Astyanax mexicanus: one gene and its partner. The protein of the gene in region 1 binds, or shares a complex with, the protein of each later gene. Links are inferred from orthologs where the notes say so. Each region holds a gene or a part of one and is shown in the gene's direction. Other genes may lie near its edges.

Region 1 (9,770 bases):
ATCTACCAGAAACATCCAGATTCTGGTACATTTCTGTGCTTCACATCCATCCAGAGTTCACATTACTCTCATGGATTTGGCTCCTCCTGTGAAATCTCTCTCTTAAATCCACAGAAAAGCACCAACAGTTCAAAAATTAGGTGACAGGTCCTCTCCATAGCTTGTCCAGAACATGGTGTCACTCAGACACACAACGCAGAGAAGCTTCATGAAGCAGAGTTCAAAAACTGCATCAATATTCAGTCCAAATATACTGTAGCTGTTTTTATTTCGCTGGATTTATGAGAAGTGGATCCCAGCAGAGTTGAAAGCATGAAGAAGTCTATAGAACAAAAAGAAACGTCATAAAGATGGAGAACATCAGATAGAGATCGAGATCACTTATCAAAATCACTGCATATATTAACTTACACCATGAAGTCGTCTATATCCATGGATCTCGCTCGCTTTTCATTAAACTCCGCCTCCCGAAGAACATCTTCAATCTTCTGAGCAATGCTGAAGTCCTGTGGAACTTCCTATTAATATAGAAATGTGAGAATTATAATTTGCATCACATTTTAATTAGACCTAATGACAAGATGTGCATGATAAAAGTTGTTAAAATGAGAAAACACACAATTGAGATTTTGTTTATACTTACTACGTTGTGAACAGAGCAATGAATTCTGTAGTTCTTCTCCAGAAGCTGCTCAACAGCAGTAGACCTTCAAACACATGATATAAAGCACAGTTATTATTATTATTTAAATATAGCTGAGCTATTTTTCTTCATTTCTCTTGTTAGTTCACTTGGTTTCACAGAAGTAAAATTGCAAGTGTAACAACTAAACACGTGAGCAAACAATGAACATAATGAGCACCCAACCAGAGTCTGTTTTAACTGGACCAAATATTGTTGGTGTAAAAATATAAAGTACTTACTTGAACGCTGCACTGAGTGTTTTGTTCTTTCTGACGAATGCAATCCTGACAAGGCCGTCCCACTCCTACAGAAAAAAAAAACCCAGATAAACATACTCAGTACTTGTGGTCATATCCACTCCAGCATATCCTCCATACTGCATACCTCATAATAAATTATATATATATATTCTATATATTATATAAATAGGGGTGGGCAATATAATATCGTATACAATATATCGTGACACAGAAGTGTCATGATACTAAAAATCCATATTGTGATAATAGGGCTGTTCTGTCTTAAAAGTAGTCTATTATTTACTGTGAAGCTTTAGGTGTATTTATTGTATAATTGTTTTAGTTTGCAGTTTATATGCATGCACTAAATATTCTGCAATATTATTTGCTGAATTATATTATTTTATGCTATATTATTTATTTTGCCACATTATGGTTATACAGTTATACTCTTATACTATATTCCTGAAATGAAGTATATCGTTATCGCAAAAATACCCTGAAATATCGTGATATTATTTTAGAACCATATCGCCCACACCTATTCTGAAATCTTTCTGAAAACTGATTCCTGTACCTGAAAGTTGATTGGTGGTGGCGGATTCTTTGGCTCTATCCTGACGACGCTGGATTCCACTTTAGGAGGCGGCCTGAAGTTGTTTTTCCCGACCTAAAAACAAACAAGAAATCAATCAACTGAAAACAGCAGCTCAACTTTACACTGTGCTGCTGCCCAAACTATCCTGTATTTAAGTCCTGTCTTGTCTGAAATAGTAAAGCTGACTGACCTTCATGATGTGGTCCACTCTGGCCAGTAGCTGTGTGTTGATGGAGAGTCTGCAGTAGAGTTTCTCTCCAGGCTTCGCCACCAAACGCATGGCAAACTCCCTCTGGAACATCAGCACTGCGCACCTTTAAAAATGTAGATTTTATTTATGTAGGATATTTACACTGTTCATATTCTATTTTCATTGACATCCAAATTTCAATGCTTTTGCATGCAATTTAATTGTTATTTGCATTTTAGAACACAAGTGAACTGAAATGCTTGTGATGAGGCTCAGGTAATTCTCTAGAGCAGAGTTACACAAGTATACAAAACTTAATATACTAAATAAAATAGAAAATTTACTAAAAACATACAGAAACAGGACCTATAAAAAAAAAAAAGAACTCTATCATATATCAGTACTGAAATTTTAATTCTGTTATTACAACAACAATTCCACTACCCTTTCCTACAACATATAATGTGAAATTCTGTTTTAATCAGTGTGCAGGTTGATTATAGGGAGCTTTTTTATTTTAATAAATGTTAAAATTCATACCTGAAGGAAGGTCTGTGAAGGAGGAGCTTGAAGACAAAAGGTGAAGAAATCTGCAAAATAATAAATATTACAATACTCATATGTAACTAAAATATAACTTCTAAAAAAAAAATAATACTGGAGGACTAACTAAAATGTAATGTAAAAAAATTGTATATTGTACCTGATATGGTAAATTTGCTACACAGACATCGAAGAACGGCAGTTCTGTCTTCAGAACGTCTCCGATTAAGATCTGAAGTTTGGACTGCAGGGGTCTGTAAATGATATTTTACACAGAACTGAGTTTCTACTGCAAAATAAAGATTTAACCAACATTAAAATAATAACACAGAATAATTGTAAAGAATAAAAACAGGTATTTACGTGCACTGCACTCTTTTCTGCAGTTCAGCCACGAGCCTGGTGTCCAACTCACACGCTACTACCTACATAAATAAATAAACACTGCGTTTATATCAATGTTATTACAACTTTACTATAGATTGTGAGGGGAAGAAATTAGGAAGAAAATATATATATAAAAAAAACATTTCTTCTTCACTATATCAAATGGAAAAAATATAATAGTGAATCTTTACACCAGACTTTATGTTTTTGTCATTTAACACCTCTGATAGTCATGCTGATCAAGTTTTATCATTTAATCAGTTATTCTCCAAAATAACTGATCAGTGTTACATGGGCTGATCAAATATAATCTACTTTATCCGAACTTATTATTATTTACTTTTTTTGCTTTCTCCAGAAGCTTCACCGTCATGTTACCAGTTCCAGGTCCCACTTCCAGAACCACATCTGTAGGTCTCAGAGCCGCCTGAGAAAAATAATAATAGTAATAATAATAATAATAATATACAATAAAACACCTTACATATGAGCATCCTATCATATATGCATTTAATATATTATAACATTATTAATACTAGATACAATTTATAAACACCAAATACTACTTTTTAAAAATGTATTTGTATTATCACTGAGAGATGATTTATTTGAAAGGTACATGCATCACATCAGCCCACAGTTCTGATACTGTTCCACATAAACATGCCCTAAACATCTATAAATTAAATAATCTGTTCTTCAGAAGATAATAAACAAACATGAATTCATTAATAAGATCAGAATTAACAAAGACCCACCTTCTCAATAATACCATTAACCACCAGAGGGTTTTTCAGGATATGCTGCCCAATACCAGTGTTAAACATAATCCCTGAAACATGAAGAGAAAATGACAGAATTTAATTACTGGTGACTTGTATTCAGTTCATTAACGCAGGTGCAGGAATTGAGATGAGGATTTCATTTTCCAGCAGGATTTGGCACACTGCCAAAAGTACCAATTGGTCTTATATAATATTCTAATTTTTTGATACACTGATTTTTGAGTTTTTATTGGCTGTAAGCTTCATAATCATGTACAATAAAAAACACGCTTAAATTAGATCACTCTGTGTTTAATACATCTATATAATATATATATGAGATTCACGTTTTTAACTACATTACTGAAATAAAGTAAGTTTAAGATACACTAGTAAGTTACTTATTAGAGTTCCATATAATACAAGTTAAATACAGGCGGACACAAGGCAGGGTTGTCTATCTATATTATAAATACGATTAAAACAACCACTTTTAGCAGCTCCTACCTTGACTTTTCACCTCCTGGTGTTGTCGAGATTTCTTCTCAGCTTTTACTTTCGGCATTTTGCTGATTTTTGATCATTTAAAGCAGGATTTCGATAAGAAACCTCTAAACACGTGTGTGTTTATAGCTATATGTGTGTGTGTTCACCAAAGAGTCTGTAGAGAGGAGAGTTCCCACTTAACAATGTCTTCTGGATTGGTCTGACCATCAGAGAACGAGATCAATTGAGCAAAATCACAAAAAAAGAAATGAGTTTATGGATCAAATCTGCTACGCTATTTCAGAAGCTTCAGTTTCTCTCTATTTATAATATTAATATTTGTCAAATATGTATATTTATTTATAAAATGTATTAAATTCATGGAAATATCCCAGATAAAGCTATTCATAAATGTATATATTTACTTTATTAGAAATGCAGAAATTCATCAATAATCAACTCGTCAATCTTTAGATCTCCATCTTCTTAAATTTCTCGTTTCTAGTGTCAATTTTCTGTAAGATATCAGGGGACAAATCTGTGAAAGGGTTTTAACCATTTGGCAGAGAAATGTTCGTCTGTGAAACATTATAAAAGACGTTTGAAAGATAATTTGATTAATATATTGTGACATTTTTGTATTCACTGCTTTTGTTTTTTTGTGTTATATAGTTGGAATGTGATATTATTTTGTTAAAATTACCTTAATTGTTAAAATATATTTTTAAAGGGTTTATGTAAGCCCATGTTATGTGTTTGCCTCTGTCTGTTCTGTATTTTATGCTATGTTCAGTTTGTGTCTTTTTAAAAAAAAAATTTAAAACTCAAATTCAAGTAGGACTCATATCACATATTAGCAGACATGCTAGCGTCTCTGTTGTACAAAAATCGTTCACTATATAAAATTAACAACATGCAGGTGTGTTTTCTTTGAGTTTTGTGCGAAATACTTTATTCTACTCTCCAATATTAAATTCATATTCTGGACATGTACTTAAATAGTATTTTTAATTTGAGGTTTTAGCCGTTTAGCTCTATTCAGTCCCATTCATTGAGGACCTTCTTGCGATCGCCCCCTAGTGGTTGGCAGTTATTTTCGCTAACAGTAAGTGGGCAGTCTCGTCACGCAGGGCTCTGTGCGCTGCGGCGGGTTAGCGGTTTGAGCGCAGCGCCTCCTGCCGGTCAGGAGGAGATAACCGCGCACAGGATGTGACGTTTTCTCCGTTTTCGCGGCAAACTGAAGCGGAGCTCAACACAGTGATGACAGAGCGCGCGCTGCTTTAACGCGGTTAACAGGTAAAATATAGAGTTTATTCTTTTAATCAGCGATTTAAAGATGTTTTTTATTGACTGGTTTATTGTAGCTGTAGTCTGAATGTGTTTATTCGGGGGTTTGTTTGTCTGTTTACAGTTGTAGCTGTAGCTAAAGTCAGCAAAGTGAATGTAGGTTAGGTTAGTTAGTTAGTTAGTTAACTAACTAACTAAGTAACTAGCCGACTAAATAGCTTACTAACTAGTTACCTAGCTAACTAACTAGGTAGCTGTCTAGCTTGCTAAATAACTAGCTTGTTAACTATGTTGCTTGCTAACTAATTAGTTAACTAACTAGCCAGCTTACTAACTAACAAATTACCTTGCTAACTAGCTAGCTACCTAATTAACTATGTAAGTAAGTACCTTACTTACGAACTGGTTAGCTAGCCAGATAACGAACTAACTAGCTAACTAGCTTTTTAACCACCTAGCTTGTAAACTGAGTTAACTAACTAACTAACTAGCTTAATAGCTAACTATCTAGCTAGCTTGCTAATTAACTATCTAAGCTTGTGTTTAGTTAGCTTACGTTAACACAAGCAGGTCTGTATAAGAAATTAGCCAGCTAGCTCTTATAATAAGAAGCACACTTAAACACCCCAGCAGAGATAATCCATCTTTTGAGATGTAATTATTAGGGCTGGGAGGTTAATTGTATTAATTTGATTACTCAAATTATTATTTTAAAATGGGATAATTGAGAGATAAAATATGTACAATCAATACGTGATCAATAATTGATTTAATGATTTTTCTTTATTGACTTGATCCACAGTATTAAGCTGTGGAGCTTCATCGACACACTCGTCACTAAATTCAAATGTTATATTTCAGTATAAAAAGGCATGTGTTAAAATAACTCACACATAGATTTTAATCCACAAACACTGGATACAGTTTTTTTCAGATTTGTGCACTGGGCTGGTAAGAAGAGCGATGGCGAACGTTACCAGTGAGAAGATAAAGGACGAGCTGGAGACGTTTGATATAACGTGTGAGGATGATGCCGTGCTGGACAAGAGTGAGTGTAGATTAGAAGTATCAGATTCAGTGTTTGTGTATTGTGTGTAAGTGTTCGTAATCATTTTATTTCTATTTTTCAGTGATGGAGCAGTGCTTATGCCACAGAATTAAAGGAGAGGATATTGTAAATGAGTGGGTGGCTTTCAGCACAACAAAAGGCCTGTTAAAACTCACCGTGAATAATCTAGAGACGTTCGAACATGAGGTGAGTAAATCCAGTAAAAAGTGACTAGTGTCACTTAATGTGCTTTAAAATCTGGTGCGTCTTATAGTTTGTAAAATACAATGTACCTTCTTGTTTTTGTTTGTTTTGCAGGTTTTGAATAAGAAACATAAAGGCAAAAGCTCATCAAAGGGGAGCAAGATTAACAACACCAGAGATGTGCATTCCATCCAGGACCTGTATCCTTTTATCTTTTAGAAATAGTTCCCTGTTGCTACCTACCCACCCAGAGAGAGCAAGGTCAGTTGTGCACTCTCTGATGTGTGCACAATTGGCATCTGATGGCAAGCTGCATAACCGGGATTCAAACCAGCAATCTCCTGGTCATAGTGGATCGCTGGACCACTCTGCCCCCCATGTGGTCCCTAGTTTGAAATTAAGTGTTAGTCTATAAAGTGAGTCAATTTCTTAACTCAGTGTGAACAGAATCAAAGCGGAGGAGGAGGAAGAAAATTTACTGGATTCGTATTCAACCCCCGCCAAGGTATTTCACTTTAAATTCATATTAAATCATTTTAAAAGGTGTCTTGTTTTATTTAGTGCTTTCAGCAGTAACACCTTAACATGGGCTTGAATATTAGTTATAAAAGTGTGAATAATTGTGATTGTATTACAATGACTTGTCAGTTAATCAGTTGTTCCTTTTTGTTTGATACTGACACAGATGTTAATCCTGGTCTTGGACTACACAGCATTTTGAATGGGGATTTTACATTAAAAGGAAATATAGCCTATGGTATAATTCTTGCCCAGGCCTTAGTTGTTTATCTTAAATTCAGATTCTAGGACATCTGTATATGTTTTAAATGTCCTTGTATTGTTTAATATGAGCATTGTTTGTGTATTTTTCTGTAAGGGCTCCCAGAAACGTGCTCTTACCACCCCAGAACATCCTCAGTCTAAGCGCAGTGCTGCTCGCCTCCCCAGTCCCGGTCTGCTGCTCTCTCCTGCCAGCTTCTCCCCCTGGTGAATACGCCGTGTTTATTCATAACTTTCACATTCTACACATTATAATTTACACGTAATGTTATTAGATCTCATAATTTTAACATTGTTTTCCTCTGAAAAGCAAACTAACTATTAAAATGGAAAGGAAGTCCATAAACTTACCTATTTCTATAACTGCTAGAGATGCATGTGCCTTTACAGATTAATCCTCGTAGTTGTTTTACGCTGGAGCTAGACTACATGACCTTTCCTGTGTATTGTTTTGTGTGCAGCGCGACCCCCTCTCAGAAGTACAGCATGCGTGGAGCTCGGGGGGAGGTGGTGGCCATGTTCGGGGCTGTGCAGGGTCCCCGCTGGTCAGGGAAAGGCCAGACCGCTGTGCAGGTGGATCTGCTCGAGGGACGCGAGGACTCACTCACCAGCTCCTATAAATACATGTTCCAGAGGCTCAGAGATGTGCGAGATGGTACGTTCTGAACAGTTCACTCTTCTCTTCTACTCGTAGTTATTGTAGGGGTGCCTACTGTGGTTATGTGACCCATACTTTTGTGGTGGACACCAGACAGTACAACAAATAAGTAACACAGCAAAAATCTCTGCCATATTGCTATCTTGGCAACGGAAACCTCCGGTGAGCCACGGACGATCATTGCTATCTTTGCTTGTGCAGAACGCACATACACCCCAGGTTGTTGTGCACATGTGGAGATGGACAGAATACAAAATTAAATAACATTATTAATTCTACCTTAACACAAAATATAGGTTACTGTCCTTACCTGCTCGCGCAACGTTACAGCGTGATCACTTATCTCTTAAAGGGGATGCAAGTGACGTGCTGATTGGCTTATTTCGCATTGTACTTTTCCTGTTGTTATGATAGCAAAGACATACCAACACTCCCTAAATCAAGCTGCAGGATTTGCAGTTAGCGGCTGACCTGCAGATTGCTAAAATAGGAACCAGGGTACAGTTGTGGTCAAAAGTTTACATACACTTGTAAAAAAACATAATGTTATGGCTGTCTTGAGTTTTCAATAAGTTCTACAACTCTTATTTTTCTGTGATAGAGTGATCGGAACACATACATGTTTGTCACAAAAAACAGTCATAAAATTTGGTTCTTTCATAAATTTATTATGGGTCTGCTGAAAATGTCACCAAATCTGCTGGGTCAAAAATATACATACAGCAACATTAGTATTTGGTTACATGTCCCTTGGCCATTTTCACGGCAACTAGGCGCTTTTGGTAGCCATCCACAAGCTCCTGGCAAGCTTCAGGTCGAATGTTTGACCACTCTTCTTGACAGAATTGGTGCAGTTCAGCTAAATGTGATGGTTTTCTTGCATGAACCCGTTTCTTTAGCACTGTCCACATGTTCTCAATGGGGTTTAAGTCAGGACTTTGGGAAGGCCATTCTAAAACCTTAATTCTAGCCTGGTTTAGCCATTCCTTTACCACTTTTGATGTGTGTTTTGGGTCATTGTCTTGTTGGAACACCCAACTGCGCCCAAGACCCAACCTTCGGGCTGATGGTTTTAAGTTTTCCTGCAGAATTTGGAGGTAATCCTCCTTCTTCATTATCCCATTTACTTTCTGCAAAAAAACAGTTCCACTGGCAGCAAAACATCCCCAGAACATAATACTACCACCACCATGCTTGACAATAGGCATGGTGTTCCTGGGATTAAAGGCCTCACCTTTTCTCCTCCAAACATATTGCTGGGTGTTGTGGCCAAACAGCTCAATTTTTGTTTCGTCTGACCAGAGAACTTTCCTCCAGAAGGTTTTATCTTTGTCCATGTGATCAGCAGCAAACTTCAGCCGAGTCTTAAGGTGCCTTTTCTGGAGCAAGGGCTTCTTTCTTGCACGGCAGCCTCTCAGTCCATGGCGATGTAAAACACGCTTGACTGTGGAGACTGACACCTGTGTTCCATCAGCTTCCAAATCCTTGCAGACCTGCTTCTTGGTGATTCTTGGTTGACTCTTGACCATCCTGACCAATCTCCTCTCGGCAGCATGTGATAGCTTGCGTTTTCTTCCTGATCGTGGCAGTGACACAACTGTTCCATGCACTTTATACTTGCGTATAATTGTCTGCACAGTTGCTCTTGGGACCTGTAGCTGCTTTGAAATGGCTCCAAGTGACTTCCCTGACTTGTTCAAGTCAATAATTCGCTTTTTCAGATCCACACTGAGTTCCTTTGACTTTCCCATTGTAGCTTTTGTAGCTGAGTCTAATCACTGGGTCAAATGAGCCCTATTTAAATGGGCTCATGAGAAGTCAACAGCTGTAGTCAATCAGAATCACTTACAAGAAGTGAAGAGGCCATGACATGAAGCTAATTTGATTGACACAACTCGCTA
Region 2 (10,160 bases), on another chromosome or scaffold:
TGTTTCAAAACAAAAGGGAGATTTCTACCCCTTTTCCACAGAGCCCCATCATCTGCATAAAGAGATTTTGCAATTCCTGCGCCCACAGATGAAAAAATGTCATTTATCATGACGTTGAACAACAGAGGGCTACAAACGCTACCCTGAGGAGTTCCATTTTCTATGCGATAGACTTTAGACAATGCATTTCCCACCCTTATCTGTATCGCCCTTTCACTCAAAAAATCTAATACCCAATTATACACCCTTCCCCCAATTCCTATCTTACCCAATTTTATCATTAAACCCTCTGTCCACAGCATGTCATAAGCTTTTTCAATGTCTAAAAACACAGCCACCACCACTTCTTTGTACAATTGTGCTTTTCGTACATCTGATTCTAAACATAATACAGGATCCATGGTCATCCTTCCTTGACGAAAGCCACTCTGATAATATGCTAAACTACGTCGGCTCTCAAGATGGAAAGTGAGTCTGTCAGTTACCATACGCTCCATCAACTTGCTCAAATGCGATGTAAGAGAGATGGGCCTATATCCTGTGGGACTAGAGAGGTCCTTGCCAGGTTTGCCAATAGGTACCACTACCGCCAATTTCCATGCCGAGGGAATTTTACCCAGCATCCACAGATTGTTATAAAATTCAAGAATTACAGAAAGGGAAGAGTCTGATAAATGTCTAAACATATCATAACATATGTCATCCTTTCCCGGAGATGTCTGACCAGATTTGTCAATAGCCACCTTTAATTCTCTTAAAGAAAACGCAGAGTCCAAAACACTGCCAAATACTTCTCTCCGACACAATGCCCCAGGATTCTGCAGCCGAATTCTCTTCCTGCACAGTAGCATAGTTTCACTTAAGTTAGCGGAGCTGTGCACTTTGGTAAACTCCTGGGCTAACATCTCTGCCTTTTCAGTGTCAGTAACTGCCTCCTTGCCCCCATCTTGCAACACAGGTATTAGAGTCCCTTTCCTTATTCCTTTCATTTTTTTAATCATGTGCCATACATCCCCCACATGTATGTCAGGCCCGATCATACTACAAAATGACCTCCAGTAGGCTCTCTTTGTTACTTTAACTGTTCTTCGAACTACTGCCTGCGCCCTTCTGTAATCCAGCAAATCACTAAACAGTAAAGTTTTCCGTACCTTTTGGAGTGCTCTATTGCGTATTTTCACTACCTTAGAGCATTCCTCCGTCCACCAAGGAACTGCCTTTTTCTTCTGATGAGGCTTTTTAATCGGAATAGCTTCTTCAGCAGTACTATATAAAATATCACACAATTTTTTATTACATTCATCAACATCTCCAGAAACTGTCAAATTCTGTAGCCTCAGATCACAAAGTTCAGAAAACTTCTCCCAATTTGCTTTATCAAAATTCCACCTTCTCAAAAATTCCCCCCTCATTCTGTTTACCTCCATACCAAAAACACAGACAACAGGAAAATGATCACTACCTATAGACGTAGACTGACATACACCCCAACTGCTCATCCCTGCTAAAGCAGCAGAAGAAAAAGTCAAGTCCAAAACTGACATTGTATTATTTACTATATTCAACCTTGTACCACTACCATCATTTAGACATACAAGACCATTGTCCATCATAAAATCCTCCAACACCTGGCCATTACTATCTGTGAATGAGCTGCCCCACAATGTGTTATGTGCATTAAAATCTCCACACCACACCACTTTACGATATCCCAAACCAGTAATTCTATTTAACATCTCCACAGTGATTTTCTCGCATGGATTATAAAAATTCACCAATGTGAACTTTCCACATTTGCTCCATATCTCCACCATAAGAGATTCGTGATTCCCACTAATAGGGAGAGATCGGAATACTATTCCTTCCTTTAAAAAGATCGCTACACCTCCTCCATTACTATGAGCCCTATCCCTCCGCACCATAGTATATCCACAAAGTGTAAAACTTAAGTGGGGTTTCAGCCACGTTTCCTGTATACAGATCACATCAGGCACCGGTTGACTATGAGCCACATAATGCTTAAACTCCTGTCCATTAGCAATAAGACTCCTAGCATTCCACTGTAAAATCACCAAACCATCACTAGTCATCACCTAGCTGGGAGGAAACTACTTTCCCAGCCAGGCCCTCACTGACTGACTCCCAAGTCAAACCCCTAATATCCAAATAACGTTCTGCAGATCGAACAATGATCTTAATTTTTTCAGTTCTACTACCTGTCTGGGCCGTACAATTAACTACTTCTGCTATAAACATAATGAACTTTGCCTTTTCAACAATCATCATGTCTGGTGTATTAACACTGCGGGCCTGCCGGTTCATAGCTGATCTATCACGGTCTGCTGTCCTTAGAACCTGACTCGGGGGACTCGACTCCATACTTCTTCCCTTTTCCACTTCTTTCAACGCTTCAGCATACGACAACCCCCTTACAGCTCTAACATTCTGGACTTCCATAGCCTTCTTCTTCTGTTCACAGCCCCCATACGCTGCCTTGTGATCTCCTCCGCAATTACAGCACTTAGGCTTAACACCCTCTCCACATTGCCCATATTCGTGTTCACCGCCACAAACCCCACATCTCTTTCGTGACCTACACACAGAGGCTATATGCCCATACCTCTGGCAATTATAGCATCTCACCGGTGGAGGGACATATATCCTCACCGGGAAGCTAATGTATCCCAGAAATACTCTCGCCGGTAAAGAATTTCCTTCGAACTGAATCATTACCGACAAGCTTTCTGACTGTGCTCCATCTCTGAACCCCTTTAATCTGACAGCTTCAATCACATTACCACCAGTCAGGGTTTTCTTAATCTGCTCCATTGTTAAATCAAGTGGAACTCCAGTTATTACTCCTCTCATCCTCGTCCTCTCCCTAAACAAACTTGTCGTAATCTTCCTACCTCCCAAGCTCTTAAGTTTCAAGGCTTTGTCTCGTTGCCGGTCATCCTTACAGGTAATCAGAATCTGCCCCCCCCTCAGAACCTTAGCTCCAGCCAGGTCACCTAAAGCTTTCTTTAACTCAGTAGTCAATCTAATTGGATTTAGCGGAGTCCCAGAGTCAGTATCAAATTTTATAAGCACCAAATACTCCTCCTTCCGACGCTTAACCTGCTCAGCACCATTCTCATTTCCAGCTGATTCTCTATCATCTGACAGACGCCTACCTTTTTTTTTCTGAACAGTTTGCCACGGTCCTCCACCACCCCAATTCCCGCTCCTACTCCCTAACCAGTCCGACTCACTCCCCTCTCCTGCGTCACTTCCGTCCATCTCTCCTCCCTCCAGCCCGCCCAGGAAGTCGTAACCGTCTCTGTCCCTCTCGCGCTCTTCTCAAGCTATATTTTAGCTCCGCCTTAACAAGCTAAACTCTAGCTTCTGATTGGCTACTCCAACTAAAGCTCTAGCTTCTGATTGGCAACTAAATTAATGATTTTTTTTAACCCGTCCTGACCGCTGCACATAAGCACTTATTTACTTCAGTTTTTATAAACGCATATAAAATATGGTTTATTATTAAAAACACTGCTCACTTATTTGGACACTCCACATATTGTTTTTGTGTTGTGAAATGCGCTAAACAATTAAAGCTGTGTAAATGAGCATGATGTATTTATTTCCAAGAACAAAGGACAGAAAAGCTGGTCTGCAAATAAAAATTTAATCCCATTATTAATTTAGTACTACACAATACATCTGTAACATGACAGTATGTTTTGTGAATATTTATAACAAGTTTTTATCTCAATTTAATAACACTCATGTTATCTCTGTTTCACTTTTGCGATTTTATTCACACCAGAAGTAAACAAACAGCGCATTCATCGCGAGATCCTGTGTTGTTCACGTGGGCTGCAGGTGGAGACTGTCCGACCTGACTTCTCCGCTCCTCCACCCCGCCCACCTGCACGCGGCTGCTCTCGCTGACCAGCAAGGCGAGGCGCAGCCGCATCTCGAACAAGCCTAAAATCACCTAGATCACTCTAAACGTGATCACACACACAGCTTATCCAGTCCATGTAGAAAAATGTGGCCAATAGAATTAGACTCTCTGGGTGTGTGTGTGTGTGCGCGTGCGTGCGTGTGTGTGTGTGTGTGTGTGTGTGTGTGAAGCAGTACTATAACAGGCTGTGTGTGTGTGCGTGTGCGTGTGCGTGTGCGTGTGTGTGTACTATAACAGTGCTGGTACAGGGTCGTCTGCCGTATTTGAGCCAGTACACACCTGTGTTCAGATAATCAACAGGTCAGGTGCGTCAGTCCTTCACCAGCACCAAAACGACTGCTCAGTGACACTGATGTAGAACAGTCAGAAAGTGACACTGGGCCAGCTGTGGGCCAGAAGTATTTTTCTGCTTGCGACTCTAAACCAGCAGTGCCGACTTAGAAACGAGTCCGGGCCAAAGTCGCTGGCTATCTGGGAATAAACCACGGTACAATACTCATTCCTGTTACTGGAACTCACTCCTGTTACTAGCACTCATTCCTGTCACTTTTAAAGTATCGGAAATGAGTTTTTAGCATAGAATTATCAAAAACATAAAGAAAGCTAAATGGCGGCCATTAAAACAATGAGCACATTCTACTGATTTTCCCAAAATCTGTATTTTAAATATAAACCATTAAAATCTAATAATTAATTTAGGTAACAGGGCAGTGTTGAGATTAGTCATAGTCCTAGTTACAATAAGATTAAATATACAAAAAAAAAACTAATGAGCGAGCTTAATTAGGTCTTGTTAATATACATATATTAAAACATGGGATGGAATGGGATTTGGAGCCTCTGAAGGATTTTAAGTTTATAGTTAGGGAGTGAGGACAGGTAAAAAATGCTATTTTCTCAGTGTTTCTCAGTTTTTATTAATGTTTTTAATTACATATATTATTTATGCATGTAATTACCTGCGGAATATGCTTTATACGCCAGATGTTTAAATGCCAAAATAAGCCTGAAATGATCTGGTTAAATGATTACTATATATATTTTGCAAATCACCATAAAATCTAATTAATATTAAAAGTATCTGCGTGTTTTCAGTTTATTTATATAAAAGGAAAAACCGCTGCTGTCCTCTAGTGGACAAATATCAAATTGACCAGTAAGAAGGCCAATATACTTTTTTTCTGGTGGGCTTTTCCTGGCCTGATGCTGATGGGGGGCATTTGTTGGCCTGATATTGACTTAAATCTGACCATGTTACATTAGCAAATAGATATAAAAATATAAAATATAAATCCAAAGAAAAGTTACAACGTATAAAATAAAGTGTAAAATAAAATTGGGACAGAAAGTAACACAGAGTTCTGGAACCAAGTTCTGCTTGGTTGGATCTTTCAGCCTTTTCAAGTTCACACGGTTGTTTCTGAAATCATAAAGTTTAGCTTCTGCAATGTCATAAAATTTATTTCAATCCAGAGTTGCATTAATTTTTCACCAAGATCTTGCAGCATTGATGATGGTAGAGTCTTCTCCAGCACATCCTAAAGATTCTGACTAGGTTTAAGGTCTGGACTCTGGTGGTGAACAATCAATGTGTGAAAATGATGATCTCATGCTCCCTAAAGCACTCTTTCACAATTTCAGCCCTGGCATTGTCATCTTGATGGAATAACCTGAGTTAACTTGAGGTAAAGAGTGAACCATTGTCAACACAGTTCTGGTTCCTCTCTCTCTGCTGCACTGCAGGGTTTGAACACATGGCGCCGCTGTTTCATTTCAGTGCAGCGGAGCGGGGCGGCTCGAGCGCTGCTCTGATTGGTGCGTTGTGGCTCTCGCGTCATTTTCGCGCCGTTAGTTCGGATCAGGCTGTTGGCGGGACTCGCGCGACAGGAAGAGACTCGGCGGCGGGCTGTTTGTTATTGTAAAGTAAAGGTAATGTTTTTAACCGTTTTAAAGACTTTAACGGCGCCGCGGGAGCAGTGTTTACTGTGAGGACTATTTTACACTTGGGGAGAAGCGCTAGTAGGCTGTTTAAAGCTGTGTTGTGTAACTGGCGCTTATTGTAGCTCGGATACGGTAACCAGCTAACCTAAGGTTAGCTAGCGGGTAACTCTAACCTAGATAACTAGCTTTAAACTAGCGTTTACTGGTATTATTGGCTGTATAGCTCGGCTAGCCAGCCAGCTAACTAACTAATTAAGTAACTACCAGCTTAGATAGTTAGCTTTGAATGAGTCGCCTGTTTGTGTAGGTTAGCTGATATAAAGAGCTACATTATGTGGTTAAAATATGGGTTAACAGTGACTTCAGGGTGACTTAAGATTTAAGGGCACATTACTACGTTTTTTAAGGCTGAAATTGTGATGTAACAACATATTAAGAGTTTGTTTAGTATAAATGACTTGTAGTTATGTAGTGCATGAGTATAAACTGCGAACAAGCTATTAAAAGTGTACAGTAAAGAGCAAAAATATGCAGAAGAAACAAAATGGACTTCTTTCAATAACATTGCGATATCACGATATGGATTTTTATTTTTATTGAACTGTTTTCTTCCCATATGACACATTCTGACACCATTTCTAGGACAAAATGTTAAAATGTAGGTTATGACATGGTTTAATCATGTTTTAAAGGGTACTGGAGCAACAATTAATTTAACTTGTTTTACATTTTGGGTTAGTATTCAGAGCTGGGTCTGAGGTCTTATGGGATATGCTAAATTTTTAAGAAAGCAGCCAAACATGTGAACTAACAGTTACTTTAAACACACACCTAATACTGTCCAGCTATCTGCCCACACCAGCCTTGATTTTGAAAGAAATTAATGAATAAGGTGTTCATAAAGTGTACAGATACTTTCTAATTGACAGTTACCTAGCAGAAGGCATCAGATGTTAAAACTAGTGAAAATAAAATGGGCTGTTTTTCTTTGCTCAGAAAGAGACCATGCAGTTCTCAGGCAGAAGGAGGAAGCTTGCAGTTCACTCTCAGAATGATCTCTACAGCCACTGTCTGCAGCTGTATGTGCAGCCTCCTCTGGAGAACATATCCCTCAGCGAGTTTGAGACCTTTGCAGTGGAGAGGCTGAAATGTAAGTCGAGACCACAGCTCCTGGTCATCGCTTCTCATTGTCCATGTCCTACATTTGTTTTGTCTAATTATTTTTTTTATTTTCCCATCTAAAGTGTTGAAGACTGTGGAGAACCTTGGTGTCAGCTATGTGAAAACAACGGAGCAGTACACCAAGAAACTTCACGCTGAAATCTCAAACCTTAATTTCCCACACAAAGCAGAAGTGGTAAGGAAATGTTCTATTTTTCACTTTTAGCATTTAGATTTAGCTGATACATAAAGGTTCCTCACACTGTGATTTAAAAGCTATTAAATCTGCTTACAATGGTTGTCTTTTAGACAAGGAAAAAATTGGCTTTGGATAGATTTACTTTTGAGAAATGTTACCTGATATTGTTTGTACTCTGGAGTAGCTTAATCTTTAGGTCTTGCTTTGCTGCAGTGGCAAAATGTTTATATTTGATTTGTTATTCATTTTACTGAACTTGTTACCCTGTTGTAATGGTAGTTGTTTAAAGTTCACTGTTTCTCTATATTAGGATGAGGCAAGTTTTACCAAAAGTCAGGTTGGACCATCTGAATATGAGAAGCGAAGGAAAGACCACATCTCTCATTTTATTCTGCGCCTGGCATATTGCCAAACGTAAGTGTTCCCCTTGTTCCCCCCTTTTTCTTTCTTTCCATAAAGGTACTTGTACTTGGGTCTTAATCTTAATGCTTCATTCAGTATTTCTGTTTCCATCCTATGTTTAACACTTTGGTCATTCTGAATTGCCACTTAAATCATTTGATAGCTGCCACTTCACATGAACTAAGGCAGAGATGTTGAACAACTTAAACACATAAGATATATGCAGAAATAGAAACTAAAATATATAGAAATAAAATATATAATAAATATATATCTTTAAATCACAGTAAAAATAATATAACTGAATTGTAGGGATGCGTAGTGCCCCAAATGTGCCCCCCCCCCCCCCAGGTTTTAAGTTATTTTGCCCTTTTGTGTGACCTTTTCAAAAAATTGTCACAAATTCTATTAATATTATATCTAGATTTTTGTCCTGTCCTTCATCCAATTAAGATAAACTAAGAGGGACAAGAGATTGTAGAGATTGCAATACTATTTGCAATCCCATTGCTATTGCAAAACCATTGCAATACTAAACATATTTTGAATCTAAATGTACGATGTAGTGCACTGTTTTTATAGTGGAGATGTGGACAAATGCATATAAAACCAACACAAATCCAGTTCCTTTATTTTATTTATTTATTTATTTTTTTTTTGAAAAACCGAAAGAAACTAAACTAACCTTTTTTTTAGGGAGGATCTCAGACGGTGGTTTATCCAGCAGGAAATGGACCTTTTTCGCCACCGTTTCAATGACCTCAGCTCCAAGTATAAGACTGAGTTTCTGCATAAAAATAATCTGAAATATGACACGGTAAGCATTTTATTTTGTGCTTGATTGAACAGTTCATCAGGTATTAGCTAATTTTAGGTTTGATTTTGAAAGCTGTGATAATCTTTATTATTTGTTCCTGTGACGAATCTAACCTGATAAACACACTTAATACACAGGCCCTCAGACCTGATTTTAAGAATATTGTGCTGTAAAGAAAAAGCATGTGTGTGTTTGAACAGCAGGTGGAGCTAAATGCTCACTGATGGATAAATGGCACCTGCTGTTTTCATGAGGAGGCTGACTTTATTATGTCTGTAGGGGGTTTTAAATGCCCATAAATATGGTGTATTAAAGCTAAAGCGCTTTAGGGGGGACCATGGAAATACTTTATTATTCTCTTAGTCTATATTTTATTGGCTAAATATCAGAGTTTTTGTAAACTTGGTGAACTAGCAATAATAATATTTCCTCAAAGCTTGGATATCGATATTCTACATGTTAACAATGTGGTCATCCTTTAATTCATGAGGTCCATGAGCAGTCGCTAATTTTACATGTATTTATGGTGCTTATTATGGCAACAACCAATAATCATTTGTTATTGCAATATGTTATAGCATGTGTTCTTCTCGGTCATTTTTTGTGCTTGTACTCTGATGTTTGCTTTCTGTTATGTTGATCTATGTTTGTAAGTTGCTTGCATTCTCTCCCTTTGACAGTTAAGTGCGGATGAAAAGATGAATCTGAAAGATCAGCTCATAAACTCCACTTTTGGTTTTAGTGGAATCACTATTGTGGAGCAGGATTTCTACAAGGTAAGACCAAAATTCAGATTCTTTCCATCTTACAGTAATCAAGCAGTTTAGTCTGTTTCTGAGATACAGAGTTACTGATTTGCTTTAAATGAAAAAAAAATGAAAATACTTGAAATATTTGAAAACATTTGGCTGAAAGATTTCACAGGTTTTCATTTTGACATTTTTCTTACTATTGAAAATATCCCAGTAGACATACCAACAGTACTTTTGTCTCTTAGTGCAGTTCTAATTATGAATTAATTTCAGCAGTGCTAGTCACACATTTATCACAACAGTGTAGTTTTAGTTATACATTTACCTTAGCATTACTAATCAAGTCCCATGTGAATGGAATTTACACAAAAATAAACAACCTTTGGTAGCTTAGCTAATGTTACTATTAAAAACAGTGTTTGTTTAAACTGATACCAAGCATACGTGATTTAATAGAATGTGTAAAAATAAACTTAAACTACTTGTTTGCACACTTTCACTGCCTCTCCCCTGTACCCTTTGCGTTCTATCCAACAGGGTTTTAATACACAACACTTCTGTTTATTATGTAGTATATGTATATGCAATTTAAGCAGAGCCACAATATTGACAAAGACTGCCAATCATTTTATATTGTACATTGATGCAGGTCCCTTTCCAAGATGCCTTGGATTTAATACGGACGAGGAAAGTCTTCCTGAGAGGTGGTTATGCCTACATTCCCCACCAGGATATTGTCACAATTGTTCTGAATGACTTCCGCACAAGACTTTCCAAAGCTCTCGCAGTAAGTTCCTTGTTTTACTGTTCAATATAATCTCTCTTCTGACTTTCTATTCTTTTTGTTTTGTAAAACATGCATATCCTTTTAGAAATTATTTGTTTATATATATATATATATATATATATATATATATATATATATATATATATATATAT

The links.
Region 2: pola2 (region 1) and prim2 share a complex: the UniProt entries of both Homo sapiens proteins name them as parts of the alpha DNA polymerase complex. The link is inferred for Astyanax mexicanus from reciprocal best matches to the Homo sapiens genes POLA2 and PRIM2.

What each region holds. Positions count from the first base shown.
Region 1 is NC_064419.1:937,770-947,539, reverse strand, and holds the start of pola2 (DNA polymerase alpha subunit B), read left to right. Parts: upstream 1-5,079; 5' UTR 5,080-5,188; intron 5,189-6,103; 5' UTR 6,104-6,142; coding exon 6,143-6,227; intron 6,228-6,309; coding exon 6,310-6,434; intron 6,435-6,545; coding exon 6,546-6,631; intron 6,632-6,878; coding exon 6,879-6,936; intron 6,937-7,308; coding exon 7,309-7,418; intron 7,419-7,672; coding exon 7,673-7,866; intron 7,867-9,770. Other genes in the region: dimt1l (probable dimethyladenosine transferase), read right to left, coding at 280-322, 412-518, 644-707, 925-989, 1,502-1,594, 1,713-1,836, 2,253-2,302, 2,416-2,509 and 4 more. UniProt on the Homo sapiens protein: Accessory subunit of the DNA polymerase alpha complex (also known as the alpha DNA polymerase-primase complex) which plays an essential role in the initiation of DNA synthesis.
Region 2 is NC_064414.1:43,402,700-43,412,859, reverse strand, and holds the start of prim2 (DNA primase large subunit), read left to right. Parts: upstream 1-5,794; 5' UTR 5,795-5,878; intron 5,879-5,914; exon of another isoform or gene 5,915-5,934; intron 5,935-6,886; 5' UTR 6,887-6,895; coding exon 6,896-7,040; intron 7,041-7,134; coding exon 7,135-7,247; intron 7,248-7,560; coding exon 7,561-7,664; intron 7,665-8,348; coding exon 8,349-8,469; intron 8,470-9,149; coding exon 9,150-9,245; intron 9,246-9,870; coding exon 9,871-10,008; intron 10,009-10,160. UniProt on the Homo sapiens protein: Regulatory subunit of the DNA primase complex and component of the DNA polymerase alpha complex (also known as the alpha DNA polymerase-primase complex) which play an essential role in the initiation of DNA synthesis.